Linked DNA regions of Macaca fascicularis. The protein of the gene in region 1 purifies or fractionates together with the protein of each later gene. This does not show direct contact. Links are inferred from orthologs where the notes say so. Each region holds a gene or a part of one and is shown on either strand. Other genes may lie near its edges. The genes, in order: GGH and CANX.

Region 1 (3,818 bases):
ACGCTGGTCTCAAACTCCTGACCTCAAGCGATCTGCCGCCTTGGTCTCTGAAAGTTCTGGGATTACAGGCGTGAGCTACCATGCCCAGCCCTCATATCCATTTTTCATAAGTTATCTTTTCTTCTTAAATTACATAGCTTTACTGTATGTAAGCTAGACGCACAACTTTTGTCAGTTATATGCATTACAAATACCTCCCCTTTTTTTCTTGTGTAATTTGTTTCCTTTTATGAACACAACTTCCTCATTTGATTGAATTCATCAATCTTTTCCTTTATGGTTTGTTTATATTTTGTCTTCAAAACTCCTTCCCTTAAACAAGATCATAAAGACAATTCTCCTTTACTTTTTCTAAAACCTTATTGTAGTGTGCCTTTCTCCTTAGGTCTTTTATCCACCTGAATTTTTTTTTTTTAAACACAGAAAAAAGAGTCTGTCTCTGCCCTACTTTTTCCCATTCCTTCAAGAGTTCTGGTTAGGTATGTAAGAAATCACTTTACCCTCCAGATTCCCACCTTTCTTCTGACACATTTGGCATTTACGTTTACATGTCTGGCTATGTTGGATTCTGAATGTTTCCTTCACATCTATCTTCTATTCTAGTTCATTAATTTCTCCTCAACTGTGTCTAACCTTCTGATTAACATGTCTACTGAGGGTTTTATTTCAATTACAATTTCTTCTTTTTTTTTTGGAAACAGAGTCTCGCTCTGTCATCCAGGCTGGAGTGCAGTGGCATAGTCTCGACTCACTGCAACCTCCAAGTAGGGGACTACAGGCACGTGCCACTATGCTCGGCCTTTTTTTTTTTTTTTTTTGTATTTTTAGTAGAGATGGGATTTCACCACGTTGGCCAGGCTGGTCTTGAACTTCTGACCTCAGGTGATCCGCCTCGGCCTCTCAAAGTGCTGGGATTACAGGTGTGAGCCACCACACCTAGCCTCAACTATAATTTCTAATAGCTGAATTTGGTTATTTTCAAATCTGACTGTTTCATGCCTATATTTGCAAGCATTCTTATTTCTTTCTTTAAAACTTAAAATATATTATACTTTATCTCATAATACTAATATCTAACATTTATGCAGGTCTGCTTCCACATCTGTTATCTCTGCAAGTTCTCATTCACAGTACTTTGCTTGCTTGTACATTAGTAGTATTTTGGCTGTGAAGTGTTCATTTTCCTTCAAACTTCATATATGGAAATTCCGTGAAGCCTGGGATGAACCTCTGGTCCTCTCAAAATAATTATTTACATTTGCTTCAGCGTCACATGTGAGGGCATTACCAGTCTGAGACAACCCTGAACAAAATTACTTAAGATTTGTCCAACTTCCCAGTTAGTATAATGCTGGCCACACTAGGAGAACAGCCCATCATTATAAACATTCAAGGCTTTATTCACTGACCCCCACCCCACTCCCTTAGCCCCAAGGCTCAGGATGGGCTATTCTCCTTGCCATTCTGTAGGGCGGATTCCAGCTGTATTTTGAGTTCAGCCTGACATTGCAGGTATAGCCTTCCAAGTCCTGCTCCATGTAGAGGGTCCTGACTGTCTCAAGTTCTCCTGATTCAATAACAACACTGGTTTAAATATTCCATTCAACTCTTAAAATTTTGAACCTGAGTATCTTTATTTGTTTGCCAATTCATCAGCGTATTTACTATGTTTTTCTATTATCACCCACATTTATTTTGTTGTTGGCTGGAGGAAAGTCTATCAAGTTATTTAATCTGCAATATTGCCAGAAACAGAAGTCATTTTCTTCATTTCTTTCTTCATCTCCACCCCCTTTATTCTTTTACGTTTCTTCTTCACCACTTCATTCAGGAAAATACCCAGGAAAACTGCAATTAATTTGAAACACGGACAAAACACGTCTCCTGTCTCCGAAAATGCCCTAACATCCATCTTCAGGCCCCAAAGTAACATGATTTTAAGACATACAAAATCAAAACTCAAAAATATAAAATAAATGAAATAAAGTGTACATGCTATAGTGATATACCTTCCATTGATGAAATAAACTCAATCTCGCCATCTGTATTTGTAGTTAAGACACTGAAAAACTTCTTTAACTTTTCATTCATCGTAAAATTCTAGAATACGAAAACAAAACAAAATGATTACTTCTGCAGTTATTCTAAACATATTAATTTCATTGTGTAATTAGTGTGATACCTTCATGGAGAGGCTCCACTTATGGAAATTGGCAGTCAGAGGTTCTACTGCTAACGACAGCAACAACTCAGTAGGAAAATTCTGGAACATTCTGCTGTGTAATTGACCTGAAATAATTTAAGTACAAGAGAAATAATTTAAACACACAAAAAATAAAATCCACTGAAATCGCTTATCTGCACCCAAAGAGAAGCCATTATGAAGATATAATCAAGATGACTAAATGATAAGCAAAACGCATCATTTCCATAGAAGTATTCCAATCAAGTTACAAAATGTGTTTAACATAAACTCAAATATGCTCCAGATATAAGTAATTTTCTTCTAGAATTTTAACATGAATAAGTAAAATTCTTCTGATATGAGTATTGGCAAGCTATAGAACAGGCAGGGAATCTTAACTAGATTTCCACAGACTATTCTGAAAAACAGTTAAAACTTTCCATGGGTGTACGTATTTGCCCAGGAAAGGATCCAAAACTTTCAACATATTTTCAGAAGTATCTGGGACAAACAAATAAAAATAAAAACAATGTAGAAAAGAACACGAACCAAGCCAAGAAATTTTGACTCAGTAAACAGATCAAAAAGCAATATATCTTAGTGGTCAACACTGAAGGTGCTGCACAGACTCAAACACCAACAAACAGATTTTGAAAAAAAGAAACTGACGTTTTCAAGGTGATAGTGCCAGCTGTTGCAAACCAGGCCCCTTATTCTTGCTAGAGACTTCCATGAAAATCGCAGCTCCCTGAAACATTCCTTTTCTGTATAAACTGGGTTCTGGCAACAGAACCAAAGTACTCTGACCTAATACATGTACTTCCCACTGGGTTTTTGCAATTATTAAGTGAGACAATGGAAGAAAGAGCTTTCAAAAGCATAAAGCATTCTATAGGTTTTAAGTATGACTGCTACTTTCCTTGCAAAATCCTCAAGAGAACAGAAATAGCTGGTGGCTTCAATTCTAAGCATTCAGAGATCAAGTAACCAACAACAATCATTATCTACTTATACAGAGTGGTATCATTAAGAATCTTTCTGGTCTTCGTCCTGGGTTCCTGACAGGAAGCTTCTAAAACCCTTAGAATTCCTGGAGTGATAAAAGTATTTTTGTTATGCTAATGTGGTAATTCAAGGTGGGTCCCTCAAATATTTCAGGATGAAGACTAATCATTAGAAACACTAACTTCATGATCAGAAAGTTGAAACTTCGAGCCAGCCCAATCAATCTCCAAGTATGAAAGAGGGGCTGGAGATTTGAGTTCAGTCACATAGGCAATGATTCAATCAATTATTTCATAACAACATTCCAGTAAAAACTCTAGACACCAAAACTCACTGGAGTTCCTGGTTGCTGAGTAAATACAGCGCTTCCCGGTGGATCCTCTAATCCCAGCACTTTGGGAGGCCAAGGTGGGCGGATCACCAGAGGTCAGGAGTTTGAGACCAGCCTGGCCAACATGGTGAAACCTTGTCTCTACTAAAAACACAAAATTCAGCCAGGTGTGGTGGGGCGCCTGTAGTCCCAGCCACTCAGGAGGCTGAGGCAGGAGAATCCCTTGAACCCTGGAGGTGGAGGTTGCTGTGAGCCAAGATTGCGTCACTGCGCTCCAGAGTGACAGACTCTGTCTTA
Region 2 (3,818 bases), on another chromosome or scaffold:
GGTGGAATTATTCCTACTTCAGTTTAGTCTTCATTGTTTTCTATAAGCATACACTTTTCTCAATCTAACCCATAAACATATTCTTAAAAAGGGATCAGACACTGTGGTTTCTTCATCTTGCTTAAGTGATTTCTTAATCTTGCTTAATCCCAAACAATCTACTGGCCTATCGCACACTCGCCCCAGTCTGAGGGTAAGAAACCAAGGATTCATGAAGATGGAAGACTATCCAAGTAGACTGACTCCAAGGCTGCTGCTCTTTGTACTCTATCACAAGTTGCTAAGATTGTAAATTACCCTATGAAAATACTCCTTTTTTTTTTTAAATGCGCCAGCAACTTTTTAACATGTGAGGGAGTTTGGGGGAAACATGGTCTCTACTTTTAAGAACTGCATTCTAGGGCTGGGCGCGGTGGCTCAAGCCTGTAATCCCAGCACTTTGGGAGGCCGAGACGGGCGGATCACGAGGTCGGGAGATCGAGACCATCCTGGTTAATACGGTGAAACCCCGTCTCTACTAAAAAATACAAAAAACTAGCCGGGCGAGGTGGCGGGCGCCTGTAGTCCCAGCTACTGGGGAGGCTGAGGCAGGAGAATGGCGTAAACCCGGGAAGCGGAGCTTGCAGTGAGCTGAGATCCGGCCACTGCACTCCAGCCTGGGTGACAGAGCGAGACTCCGTCTCAAAAAAAAAAAAAAAAAAAAAAAAAGAACTGCATTCTAGTTAAGACAGAACATATCCATTGAAAATATACAAAAGATACAGATAGCAATGACCTTTATTAATAGGAAGGCAGAGTTGTAGCTGGAAGTAAAACCTGAGAAGAGCTTTCCAGGAGAGACCAGACTGAGACACAGAGGTGCTGGGGGAAGGACTTTAGTGGGCAATGGTACAATGACTGTTCCCTTTCTCTCATACTCTATATATCTATCCAATCCACCACAAAACCAAGATCCAGAACCCCAACTAGTTCTCATACCCTCTGTTCCTCTCCTGTCACCCTTTTTGGGGCCACCATATCTTTCCTAGATGATTACAGGAACCTCCTAACTGGTCTCCCTGATTCTCACTGGTATATAGGAAACACAGCAGATAGTCATCATCCTGTGACAACTGTGTCCAGTAGCCTGTGATGGTTGCCTGCTTCACTAGGAGGGAAAGCCAAGTCCACACAACAGCCTGTCTAACCCGGAGCCTTCTCCACCCTTCTCTTCTCCACTCTGTCTGTCCACTCACAATACTGGCTTTGTAGACCACTTTAGGCTCTCAATACTGGCTGTTCTCTCTGCCTGGAATGCTCTTCCCACTTACATCCCCATGGAAAAGTTCTCTATCTCTTTCAAGTCTTTGGTCCAGTGTCATCTTTCGAGTAAGGTTTTTAACATGGTGACCCGCCCTACCTCTAGCACTTTTAATACTTTTTCCTGTTTTAATTTTTCATAGTTTCTCACTTCCTAATATGCTGTGTTGTTTACTTCCTTACAATGTTTACTGCTCACTGCCTGTTTCCCCCAAGTAGAATATCAGCTCCCTAAAGGCAGGGTATCTTTGTCTGTCTTATTCACTGACAATGCCTGCAACAAAATGGGCACTCAACACACATCAGGTAAATGAATGAATGAACCAATCTATGGATAACGGGGACAAAAAGTTTAGAACACAGTGATTTGTATAAGAAATACTTTTCAGGGCACTGTGAGGAGAGGCAAATAGACTGTTAATGACCCGAAGTTTCCTTCTTAGCAAGCATTTTATTATCCCCCTACAACCTTCTGCTTATTCCAGAAAATCATTTTCAGCTAAAAAGATACTTTGGAGAGGCAGACGTAGCTTCAGATTATCAAACAAAACACTGACCAGTATCACAAAGAATTCCACTTCAACAAAATTGGTTTTAACAGAATTTTTACTGCCATAAGCCACTGTAAACTACCCTATTAAAATATTCCCTTTAAATAAATGTACCTTAAACTTGGAAAAACAGAATGTGTGACCCCTTTCCTTTACCTCTGCTTTAGGTTTTCTGTCTTCCTCCTCTTGACTGACAGTGCCACCATCTTCTTCAGCATCACTTTTCTGTTTCTCTTCTGAGACAAAAGTTAAACAACTGAGCAAAACCTGACTATTTTTGGTGATTACACATTAGCATTAGAACAAATCTCTAGATCTACAACACTTTTTTTTTTCTTGAGACGGAGTTTCGCTCTGTCAACCCAGGCTGGAGTGCAGTGGCGCGATCTCAGCTCACTGCAACCTCTGCCTCCAGGTTCAAGCGGTTCTCCTGCCTCAGCCTCCCAAGGAGCTGGGGCTACAGGCACCCGCCACCACGCCCGGCTAAATTTTTGTATTTTTAGAAGAGACGGGGTTTTACCGTGTTAGCCAGGATGGTTTCGATCTCCTGACCTCATGATCCACTCGCCTCAGCCTCCCAAAGTGCTGGAATTACAGGTGTGAACCACCGTGCCTGGTCAATAATTTTTTTTTTAAGAGACAGGATCTCGCTGGGTGTGGTGGCTCACGCCTGTAATCCCAACACTTTGGGAGGCCCAGGTGGGAGAATCGCTTGAATCCGGGAGGCAAAGGCTGCAGTGAACCAAGATCACACCACTGCACTCCAGCCTAGGCAACAGGGCCAGACCACATCAAATAAATAAATAAATAATAAATCAGCTGGGCATGTGGTCCCAGCTACTTGGGGACGGGGGAGGCTGAGGTAGGAGGATCACTTGAGCCTATAAGTTCGAGGCTGTGGTGAACTGTGATTGTGCCATTGCATTCCAACCTGAGTGACAGAGTGGGACCATGTCTTAAAAAATAAAAACAGAGGATGGGCGCAGTGGCTCACGTCTGTAATCCTGGCACTTTGGGAGGCCGAGGTGGGTGGATCATGAGGTCAGGAGATCGAGACCATCCTGGATAATGCGGCGAAACCCTGTCTTTACTAAAAATACAAAAAAGTTAGCCAGGCATAGTGGCGGGCGCCTATAGTCCCAGCTACTTGGGAGGCTGAGGCAGGAGAATGGTGTCAACCCAGGAGGCGGAGCGTGCAGTGAGCCGAGATCGCACCACTGCACTCCAGCCTGGGCAACAGAGCGAGACTTCATCTCAAAATAAATAAATACATACATACATACATACAAAATAAACATAAAAAAGAGAGAGAGAGGACCTCACTCTGTTGCTCAGCTGGAGTACAGTGGCACTATCCTGGCTGACTACAGCCTTAAACTCCTGGGCTCAAGCGATTTTCCTGCTGCAACCTCCCAAAGTGCTAGGATTACAGGCTTGAGCCACCATGCCTGGCTAAAAACAATCTTTAACTTGACTGTAAAGGTTTAACGACATCGTAGGGTCTTGGCTTAAAGCAGATTTTCTGGACTCTATTTCTTACCAAGTTTCTCTTCTCCTTCCTCCTCCTCATCTCCCTTGTCCTTTTCCTCTTCCTTCTCTTCTTCCTCTTCCTTCACATCCGGCTGAGGTGCATCAGTTTTCTTATACTCCATAGCACTGGTCTGTTTCTGAAATGTTCCCCAAAGTACAATTTTGTTTACATGTTCAGGTATTATGTTATATAATTCCTGAATGCCTACAGGCAAAGTTCTGTTCCAGGCTGTATACAGGGATAGATATATAAAAACGAATAAGATGTAATTCCTACCCTGAAGAGCATGTGTGCACATGCGTGTTTCAAGGTAGAATAAAAACAAAAGGGCCAGACAGGAAAATACGGGTCAAAAAAGGTGACTGCGGCACAGATACAAAGAATAGTGTCAGAGGATAAGGCTGGAAAAGGAACTTGGGATCCAGTTACAAAGTGCT

Evidence for each region.
Region 2: the proteins of GGH (region 1) and CANX purify together in Homo sapiens (affinity purification with mass spectrometry; 3 studies listed by BioGRID and IntAct, with this or other methods). This does not show direct contact. The link is inferred for Macaca fascicularis from reciprocal best matches to the Homo sapiens genes GGH and CANX.

The regions. Positions count from the first base shown.
Region 1 is NC_088382.1:72,952,524-72,956,341, forward strand, and holds part of GGH (gamma-glutamyl hydrolase), read right to left. Parts: intron 2,290-3,818; coding exon 2,183-2,289; intron 2,101-2,182; coding exon 2,010-2,100; intron 1,849-2,009; coding exon of another isoform or gene 1,730-1,848; exon of another isoform or gene 1,610-1,729; intron 1-1,609. UniProt on the Homo sapiens protein: Hydrolyzes the polyglutamate sidechains of pteroylpolyglutamates. Progressively removes gamma-glutamyl residues from pteroylpoly-gamma-glutamate to yield pteroyl-alpha-glutamate (folic acid) and free glutamate.
Region 2 is NC_088380.1:186,599,553-186,603,370, reverse strand, and holds part of CANX (calnexin), read right to left. Parts: intron 3,518-3,818; coding exon 3,391-3,517; intron 2,087-3,390; coding exon 2,007-2,086; intron 1-2,006. UniProt on the Homo sapiens protein: Calcium-binding protein that interacts with newly synthesized monoglucosylated glycoproteins in the endoplasmic reticulum. It may act in assisting protein assembly and/or in the retention within the ER of unassembled protein subunits.